Linked DNA regions of Arabidopsis thaliana. The protein of the gene in region 2 interacts with the protein of the main gene of each other region in a pairwise test. Each region holds a gene or a part of one and is shown on either strand. Other genes may lie near its edges.

Region 1 (5,297 bases), on a different chromosome or scaffold from region 2:
AGGGGGTTTACGAACATTCTCTTGGCTATTTCGAGTTGATTTCTCTTCCAAGTTGTGTCGTCTCCATTTTTGTTGTTACAGTGGCCGAGCTTTTTGTTTTCACAGCGATGGGTTTACATTGGTTTTGAAATTCAAATTGATCTCGGTTCGGTTTAATTTGGTTTAGAGAAGAAAACCAAAAAAAATACGACACGCGATGGGTTTTTGAGAATGAGGTGCGTGGATCCAAAAATGCATGATTTTTGTGGATTAACCCCTTTAGAAATCGTAGACACGCGCTCAACGCGACATGAGTGAGAGTGGCTGTGAAATAGCACGATTGGTAAAAGTGGGGTATGAAGTGGAGCTCTCTCATTGGCTAAAAATATAAAAATAGTAGGGGAGCTCCTCCTCTCATATATTGAAAACAATAACAAACACTTATAAATGTTCTGCATTTTCAGAGTAAATTTTATTGATTTCTGAATTTTTATTGATGTGCATAGATTTTGTTTCATATTTTGTGTACTTGTAGTTTATCAACACTTATGGATCATTCGAAATGTATACCAATCAGGGGAAACCTTCAAGAAGAAGATCAGAATCAAAGTATCCTCTGCCATGGAACAATTAGGCTTGTGTCAGGTTCACAAGGAGGCTATATGAGGTTGACACTGGATTATGATACTTTGAATGCTGCAATCAAGACTGGAATCATCTAAAAATATGAATCCTTCAGCTTCTTTAACCAGTAATACATATGTGGATTAACAATATAAATCCTTTGTTGAATAAAGGAAACAATTAAACGTTTGATTACATATAAGACTTTACATAATCCAACTTTTATATGAAGCTACTACAAACAAGATTCAAAGATTCCATCTAATCTTCAATCTTCATCTTCAACATCCTTCAATATCTCTCCACTTAAGATACACTAGCCCAGCTCTATAGTGCGTGAACGCACCAGCAACAACCAGAACATGAAACAACTGATGGCTATGTCCTGCTATATCGAATTTACCCGGCATCCATCTCTCTGGGATCCTAGTTGCATAAACCAGAGCTCCTAACCCATAAAGCAAACCCATCAAAATCTCATAACCTGTCGTGTGAAGGGCTTCAGGTTGGTCCCAAAAGATTATCAGCTTGTGAAGAATCGGAGCTAAGCCAGAGAATCCCATTCCAAAGAACAGAGACGCCCTCACCACCCGAAACTCCGGGCTTTGGAAAACCGGGAGGAGAGAAACAAGCACAGTGGCGATTCCTAAGATGGTTATGAATCCTAAGTAGAGGTTGCAGAAGAAAGGATCACACATGAAGGAGTAATAAACCGGAGGGTAGAAGGAAGTCGCTATTAGAGCTGCGATGCCGGCGTAATCAAGCCTAAGCATTATGTAGGAGACTCGCTCGGAGTGACATGAGAGGAGGTGGCACGTGCTGCTTGCTAATAGACAGAACATAGCACCACCTAGAAATGCATAAAACGGCCATCGAGTAATTGGCCTGAAGATCAAAGGAGCTATCAAGTTTGCAAGATCTTCCCTCACAGAATGCTGCAATGCAATTACAAAGATATGAACTTGGCCACATTTTGAAACAGTAATCTGCAGGAATAGAGAGAAAGATTGAGTCTTTTCTTACCAGAACACACATGTCAGTGTAGTTGCCATGAGAAAATCTTTCAGGCAAACAGTTATAAAGAAGGTCCATCACATGCCAACTAGATGGACTAGAAGGAAGGCGAGCCATGAGCTCAGAATGAAGTTTGTGGAGATCTGTTTTCCTCAACAAATCGGGTAAACGGTGTTGAAGCGAATGAAGATCCACGACACTCGGTACTTTCGTTGCAGTGTATATAGTGAGCGCCAAAAACAGGAAAAACCCAATCAAGTGCCTGCAAATCCCAAAGAACACACACACACAAACACACTCAAGGCTCTTGAACTTTAAACAAGGATACATCAAGAAACATGATTCAACACTTACGTCCAAACATTCAAAGTCTCATTATGAATGGTAAAGATGCTGAGAAGAATCTGTTTGATCGGCCATTCGGATCGGTAATGACCAATGATGTACTCATTGTCTCTTAAATAAGCAGGCAATGAATGAAACTCCACCAATTGATACTTGACTTTCTGCCATAACCTCTTCCCTTTCACATTATGTTTCTTGTCCATTGTTTCAGATGAAGCTTGTGGCTTTAAATGTTCCTTGATCTCTGCCTCATCACCCATTTTCTCTCTACTCATAAACAAACCAAACCCATAATATCAATCATACAGATCTAAATCTAGCTCAATCTGAATCATTCCAAGAAGTTAGGAATCAAAGTTTCAATTTTGAACGTTTATGCTAAATCTTGTTTTGTTCTGGATAATGAAAGTATCGATTTTTATATGCAGATTCAGCTCATTCATTACCTAAAGCTTCAATCCATAAATGGATTTGAGAAAATTACCTGAATTTCGAAAGACAAACCCTGTAAGATTTAAGAAATTGAGAGATAAGTAATTAAGAGAATTATGAGAATTTTTCTTCGATTTCGTGAAATTAGGAGAGAAAAGGTGAGATTTTGTTACCTGGATCTTCAATGCCGACGAGACAAAATCTTCTAAGAAAGATCTCTCTCTTTCTTAAAAGTCAATCAAAATAGATCTCAAGGTTTCGTTTTTGTCGAAAACAGAGAGTTCTTGTTTTGGTATGAAATCGAAGAAAGAAGAAAAAATAGAAGACGACGATGGAAGTGGAAGCTCTGAAGCCACAAAGCTTTATGAATTTTATATATTTTTATATATTTCAAATTGGGACCACTAGTTTTGTTTTGTTTATTAGTAGGACCCTTTTATTTTTCTTTATTTTCGTTTGGGCTAAGAATTTAATAGCTAGAGTATTTATTGTACGAGGATGGAAATACATCAAACAGAGAAAATGTTTTGTCGAAAATATTAACAAATATTTCTCCTATGAAATCAAGTCTTTCTCAAAAAAAAAAAAACTTATTTGATATGGGGAATTTAAATTAAGGGAAAATTAATTTAACATACCATATGAGAGCAAAAAATAAAAAATAAAATAATTGTGCTCCATGGATTCTTCTTATTAATGATTAAAATTTTCAATTAGGTGAAAAGGAAAAATTTATGATTGTGGCACATTTATTGCATTTAATCATCTTTCAACTAAAAATGGAGATGTCTATTTATGGTTTTGTTTATTTGGTCGGATTTCTTTTTTTTTTTTGTATAGAAAATATTGACAACGAATTGAATTTCAGTTCTAGTTTATGTTTGGATTTAATTTTAAAGCAAAAACTATCTATCGTTAAGAATTTTCCGAAATAAAGATTCACATTTCAGAAGATTTTTTTGTTTTGTTTCGAGTCGGTTTTGGTTATTTTCTTACATAAAATACACAGAATAATTCGAACCATAATATTGAATTGTTATTTTGGTTCACGTACGTTTACCGTTGGAGACTTTATAGCTCTTCGTTTATGCTTGTACGGATCAATAATCATGCATACTTAAGTATTTGGAAAGAAGAAGAAAAATAAAAGATTTTATCACAACATAAATAGTAACGTGAATTGGCATAAATGAATCGCAACAAACAGGTCGCAATCACAATGATAAAAATATCTACTGGCACTACTTCATAAGGAAGGATCTTGTAAGAATATTACTTTCGTTTTATTCGGATAAGCAGAAGATATTCGTTTTTTTTCTGGCTCGTTTTTTCACCTATTCAAGTTTTATGTCAATTTGGTTACGTACTCCAAATTGTGGCACTTGTAATTTGACACTCTTTATCAAAGTTATCACTTATCTTACTTGCCAACGAAACTAGTATCAGTATTCAGAGCCATTAATACAAATCAATCAAATCTTAGAGGAAGAACTAAAATGATGTACATAAATTGATGTTTTAGTTTTGCCAATTAGCATAAATAAATACTTTTAAGAATCTTTTCACATTTTTTCTCTAATAAAAGTGAAACATACACATTAAATCTTTTCACATTTTTTCTCTAATAAAAGTGAAACATACACATTAGAATCAGTTGTTCACCATATATAAAAAGGCTCGCCAAATTAAGATCTGGACATACTTAAAATGGGATTGGGCTGGTAAATATTCTAAAAACATTCCTTAAAAAGCCCACTCTGATAAGTCCGCGACTTCGAAACTCCGATGCAGACCGAAATTGGTTCTATAGTTTGGGAGAGAATGACCAGACCGGTTCAATCAATTTTCCTTCGATGGACCCAACCGAATAACTTCCATGTGGGGACACAACTTAAGCTTGTAACGACCAGACATTCAAAGAGTTCCGTCAAATAGTAATAGAGAAAGACTAAAGAAGAAAATATGGAAAAATAAACAATAAATAATAATAGAAAAAGACTATTGAAGAAAATATGGAAAAATAAACAATAAATAATAATAGAAAAAGACTATTGAAGAAAATATGGAAAAATAAACAATAAATAAAATACCTACTTACCGTGGGTCCCACTACGGTACTACTGCCGCCTTCTCCGACCGTAATCAGCCGTCACCTGCCGGTTTAGTTACAATAACAATTTAGTATTTATTTGAATTCTTTCTCTCATCGAAGTCTAAGGAAGATGGAGCGAGGAGCTTTAGTGGGTTCTTCTTCTACTTCTAGCTACTATGTTCCTTACCACTTTCGCCAATCAAAGTCGAATTTTTCGTCATTCAAACCAAAAAATAAGCTAAACCCTACTCAATTCCGGTTTAACTGTTCATGGTTTAAGCCGGTTAGTTCTATAACGGCGGCGAAATGCAATATGTTTGACTACGCGGTGACTGCAGCCGGCGATGTGGAGGCTGAGCATCCAGTTGACGACAAACAGTTTGTGCGTTGGTTCCGTGAAGCATGGCCTTATCTTTGGGCTCACCGTGGCTGCACATTCGTCGTTATTATCTCCGGCGAGATCATCGCCGGCTCTTCTTGTGATGCCATTTTGAAGGTACCGTCTTTCTTCACCGTATTATATACTTTGATTTATGAGAAAAAAGCACGCAAGGTGTTCGATTGTTTGCTTGCCTCAACTAAAGTTGTTACTATTCTTATTTTGCTTTGTTATATGATCTTTTCTTTGCAATGTGCTTGAGTTTTCAGTTCTCGTATTTGAGTAGAAGGTGAAGTGATTTGATATATGTGCAGGACATAGCGTTTCTTCATCATCTAGGAATAAGGTTTGTTTTAGTTCCTGGAACTCAGGAGCAAATCGACCAGCTTCTGGCTGAGAGAGGTCAGAATATTATAAGCTTTGTCACGATGT
Region 2 (5,718 bases):
AGATTCACTTATAATACACTTTGATGGTTCTTATGGACTGAATTAACCAATCTTTAAACGATTTTATCATTTTCATTTATGAGGAACTATGAGATTTATAAATTAAGGAAATTAATTACTGATATGTTAACATTGTAGCGTGGTGTTTAAAACACGTCATGGAAACATACATTACCCTACACTGGATCACAATTTCGATATAATTTGTGGTTGAATCAAAAGCAACAAAAATTTTGGATTTTGTGGGCTCTGAAATTTTTACTAGAGTTTAAAATATAAGTGAAGAGCCAGAAGCCATAAGAAAAAAGGATAATAAGAAAAACCATCTTTTTCATTTTAAAGTGCTCAAAGAAAAATACAAAAACTAAAGGAGCATTAAGGAGACAATGTTCGTAAATAACACCGAGTTAATGCCAAGCTGCATCATCACCATTAAGCGTGTCTCTTCTTTATTTCCTCACTCATTTTATTAACACTCTAATTAACTATCATGATCATCATTAATATTTGTCTAATTGGAATCTTAGAGATCGTGAGCACTTTCATTTTCTTTGTTTGGTATGTTGTTTCCCATAAACGACAACTTTTTTCCTTTTTTGTTCTTTTATATGTTATTGGCTGTAAGTGTAACAGGTATATATATTGTTATATGTTTTGTATAATAGTATATCATTTGTAAAATTCATCATACTTCAGTATAATCGTAAATTTCTTAAAGAGAGGAGATCATTCTGTCTTGGAGAATGTCATGAAGTAATTTGGAATAAGATTCTACCAGAGTGCAACTCAACTCGACGGCGCCAAGGACATGTACCAGGCTACCAGCGCCCGTCAAATTTTATATTATGATAAAAAGTCAAACACTAATAAAACACAATCTATTAAATCCTTATAAATGAAATAAATACATGCTCTCTCAAAAACTTTCATTACCAAGAACAAAAAATTGAAAAAATTATCTCCTAGAGCTTTGGCATTGCCACCAACACTAACAATGTAGTCATGTGTTGTAAAACAGAGGATTAGTTTTGTTGTTCTCTGAACTGTAAGTATAATCGAGAGTTGGATTTGAAGCAAGCTATAGGAAATTAACATGGTCAAAACATTAAACAGGTGGTATACATTTGTAAACCACATTCTGGATATTCTTAGATCAAATAATATCACATCTTTTTGTAAAAAGTGTTTCCAACAAAAAAAAAAATTCACATTTTTGTATAGGTGAAAGTTAATATTTTTTTTGTTCACTAAATAACTACACTGGACCTATTCCTTTGGGCCTACTTTTTTTTTTTTTTTGGCCTATTCTTATCAACAATAAAAATAAAAATAAAAAAACCGAAACCACTCCAAGAGTCACACCGGATAAAAAAATAAATTGTCACAGTTACTCTTATTTTCAGCATCCGATACAATCAACACTACTTATCGTCGCCTTATTCTCAATATATCGTCGGTGTTGTTGTTTGTCATCACAGGGTGTATAATTTTCGTATCAATGTCACTGGAGACTGGGAAAATAACAGACCATATATCTAATAAAACCAATCAAAAGCCCATAGATAACAGAAAAATACATACTTATCAACCGACATTGGAAAATCCACACTTAAAAAGTGTACAACATCATTAGTTGTGGCCATGATAAGAGGATAATTCATAAAAATAACCAGAAAAGGAAAAACAAAACAACCTAAAAAAACAAGAAAAACAAAAGCAAATGCATTACTAAAAAAACATAAGGTGAGAAAAAGAAAGAACACAAAAAGATACTACTACTTTTTTTTTTTTTGTTGGCTTCCTTCCTAATAATAATCATAACGGCCGTCTCAATCACACAGATATCTTCAAGCCCTATCATCCGCCGCCGCCACGTCATCTTTAACATTTCCCATTTCCACCTCCATCTCTCCGCTGTCTTCCGTCGTCTTTACGCCGGAATATTCTCCCTTCTCCTTCTCCTCCTTCTTCATCTTCATATACATCCCGTATGTGTAAGATGAGAATCCCCAAATACATAGCACCGTCGACACAATCTTCACTCCACCAAACACGTCACCGTAAGCCACCACACCTCCTATCACATTCATCGCGAGCAACGCCGTCATGCAGATACCTCCGGTGATACCTGACGTCAAGTAAACCATCCCTGACGTGGCTGCGAAAGAGAGCTGCCACGTCACCACATTTGCTAGTATCGCAAACGTCCAATAAAATGTTGGTCCTTTGGTGAAAACATGGTTCGCTTCCTTAACCATTTCCTTAAACCCGCCTTCGCAAGCCATACCGATTGTCGCGAAAACCGTCGCTGCGAATTCCATCACCAGTTGCACCTCCATGACCATCGCGTAACAATAAACGGTACGGTATAGCTTCTCCGTCACGGGGAGGTAAAGAGCGAAGAGTAAACCGGCTCCGATCGTGGATACATACCCGATGAAATACTTGGTTTTGGTTAAACCGGACGGTTTATCTTTACTCGAATCAAGAGCCAACAAAACAGAGCTTAACGTCAACAGGACAACGCAGTTGAGGTTTGAGAAAGTGATCTTCTGTTTCACTATGATCCTAGACAAAATGAGAGTGAAGACGAGTTGTGTCGAGAGGAGAAGCGATGACGTGGACACCGGAAGGTACGAGGTTCCCCATGAGAAGAGGAAGTTGTTGAAACCGAGAACAAGCCCGATCAACACGGAGAAGATGAGATGGCGGAGCGTGAAGCGCGTGAAAGGACGGCGAGTGGTGGTTTTGAGAACGTAGTGAGGGAAGTAGATTAGGATGAGGAGGAGAGGGAAGCCAGCAGATTGAACCCACGTGGAGACCCACCGGCTCGAGCCACCGTAGACGAAATAGTACTTCGCGAGAAGGCTCGAAGCGATAGAGCCGAAGAAGAGAAAAAAGTAAGTCACGATGAGGAGAGTGAGAGATCTCTTAACCGGTGGTTTAACCATGTTCTCTTCTTGTTGAGGATCTGCGTTAACTCGACCATCACTCATTTTTGTCTCTTTATGTTTTGATTTATAATCTTTTGTTTATTTCTTGTAACTGTGATTTTGCATGAAGAGAGAAAGGAGGAAGAAGAAGAAGTGTCGAAAAAGCGTTGATGGTTCAGTCTCCAACAACACAATACACACTGATCACTCATGTATATATTGTGGATTTTATCGAAATCAAAGATACTAACACATTTATTATTATATTGATAGTCAAATAAATTCATTTTCAATTAATGTGATGCACTACATTCAGTCGTTACTAACAAAATTTCTAAAAAATACAAATATTTAGTTGGGTATCCAGCATCTCATTTCATATGAATATTCTTCTAGAGAGGGAATCTTCTATACAATGATAAAAAAATTTCCCTCAATAACAATGTTTTCATTAAGAAATATGAATTTATTATCTAAAATCTGTTGATATCTCTTTACCACAAAATAAAAGCAATTAATGTTATAAGCCTTTGTATTGACAAAAGAAGAAAACAAAATTGGTAATTTTGCTCAAAATCTTATCATCATGAGTTTATATAGAAGAAACTTTCCCTTTTATATATTTAATAGATAAACAATGTTTATCCATCAAAAATATTTCTATAACAATAAAATTTTCCATAGTTTTTAACCAACACTAGTAATATTTAGTATATATTTATTCAATAATATAACTTATATGATCATTTACTTTAACCAATAAAATTAAAACACATATAATTTATAACCTATTTGATAGATGTCAAAAAAAAAATCTTTGACTAAATATTTTAGAAACTAACTATAACCTATTTGACACATGTAATTTATCAACTAATTAATTCTCATAGGTTTTGGGCCAAGAACTTAATTAAATTAATAAACATTTATTTACACATACATAGTTCTAACCAGACGAACAAAAAAAATAGCGTTCACTAACTTAAAACTAATAATCATATGAAATTAAAGATCACAAGCTCGAACCAAACCATCTAATCTAAATTTAAATTTCAGTACAATTCATTTTTTTGGGTTACAAAATATTTTTCACCATAAACTTAATGGTTTTGATAATTTTGAATTACTTCACTATTGGAAAATACATACTCTATTCTTCAAAAGTATTTTCAAAAGAAGGAAAGAGATTTACTAAATACAAAACACATTTTTCCAGTTGACCACTAAAAAAAAAAATTTAATGTGTGTAAGAAAAAAAAAAAAAATGTGTGTAACGTTAAGTCTCCACGCATAAACACACACACACATTAATGTAAATATATAGTGAATGACATAAATATTTTAATAAATTTATTTTAACCGTTACCTCTTGATTAATAATTAATAAGATTTTATTTACTACTCTATAGTGGTGTGTATTTCATGTAACTATGTTTGTAGACAGGAAGTCTAATGCTTCGACTGGTGTTTTGAACAATATAATAATACTTTTTCAGCTAAGTTGAATTTTACTTTGGGTTTGTATTAATTTTCACCTATCAAGAAAAATGAGAGGATACAAAAATTTTAGTTATAAACATAGAAAAGAAGAGTAACCAAAGGATAATATTTCTCTTGTCTTTTTCTTCTATTTCCATTGTATAATCTAATTGGTCACATTTAATTGTATCCATTTATAACAAACAATCTTATCAAAATATTTTCGCGTAGACCCCTAGTTTCAGAAATAGAGTGCAGAGATTTTGTGGCAGCGATGAATGATCTAGGAAAACTAGATGTAGACTGTTTAGTGTGTAAATACAAAAATAAAGAGAAAACTCCTTAATATAAAATGAAATAAGATGTAATAAAAGGTTCAAATCTTACGAAATAGTAAGCTGTTTAAGAGAATAAAAATAAATTAGATTTACCATATAGCTCGCCTTTTTTAGTGTTATACGTATAAAAATAGTGTTTTGAAACTGAAAAATATTTCTCAGTTTCTTAGGGATTTTTGTTATGATAGTTCATATTTTTGAGAATTTTCATGAAATAGTTGTTCTATTATTTCGAGCATAAACATGAATCTTTGGTAACAACAAGTCAACTAAATAATCTTCATGATTTCTAAAACAGACATGATAAACCTACATAACTATAAAAGCAATAACAGGAAGCTAAATAATCGGAGGTCAAAGTTGTTAAAGAGATTTTACTGTTATGATCATGTCACCTATTGATTCTTTTGTATATATTCTTTAACTATTGGATAATTACAAATCTATTTAAAATCTATAAGTTAGTTTTATTTTTTTTTATCATATATAAGTACTGTAGATATGGATATTGAAAGAAGCAAGCTGACAAATGTAATTGGTGAAAAAATGTGGGAGAGTACAAAAGGGTTTTGGAAATAGAGTTTTGATTTTCAAAAAAAAAAAAAACTTAATAACAGAAGCCCAGAACATTTTGCATTGAATGTTTTCAAATTCAATTTGAGTTTCTCTCTCTCACTTTTTCACATTAATTTCAATGTTTTTATTTAGTTTTTGTTAAATTTTTTTCATTTAAAATTAGTTAAATTTCTTATCAAATAACAATAATTTTGTTTTTTCATTTCATTAATATTGATTTGAAAAGCTTACAAACAAAGGAAAAAATAACCATGAACTACAAGATGTACCTATATTTGATGAGGAAAATTTTTAAATAATGAAGAAACTATCATAAAATTGTTTTTATTTTTTCCAGTTAAATCATCAAAGTGAATTTTTGCACAAAAAACTTTAAAGATGTGTGAGGACAC

The links. The genes of interacting proteins can lie anywhere in the genome.
Region 1: the proteins of PUP4 (region 2) and HHP4 interact in a protein complementation assay, tested with the Arabidopsis thaliana proteins (one large-scale study listed by BioGRID).

The regions. Positions count from the first base shown.
Region 1 is NC_003075.7:17,698,156-17,703,452, reverse strand, and holds HHP4 (heptahelical protein 4), read right to left. Parts: upstream 2,820-5,297; 5' UTR 2,568-2,819; intron 2,468-2,567; exon of another isoform or gene 2,447-2,467; 5' UTR 2,238-2,446; coding exon 1,972-2,237; intron 1,880-1,971; coding exon 1,627-1,879; intron 1,539-1,626; coding exon 885-1,538; 3' UTR 501-884; downstream 1-500. Other genes in the region: NAGS2 (N-acetyl-l-glutamate synthase 2), read left to right, coding at 4,617-4,982, 5,180-5,267. UniProt on the Arabidopsis thaliana protein: May play a role in abiotic stress response.
Region 2 is NC_003070.9:10,971,859-10,977,576, reverse strand, and holds PUP4 (purine permease 4), read right to left. Parts: upstream 3,133-5,718; 5' UTR 2,997-3,132; coding exon 1,848-2,996; 3' UTR 1,780-1,847; exon of another isoform or gene 1,514-1,779; intron 1,303-1,513; 3' UTR 1,279-1,302; downstream 1-1,278.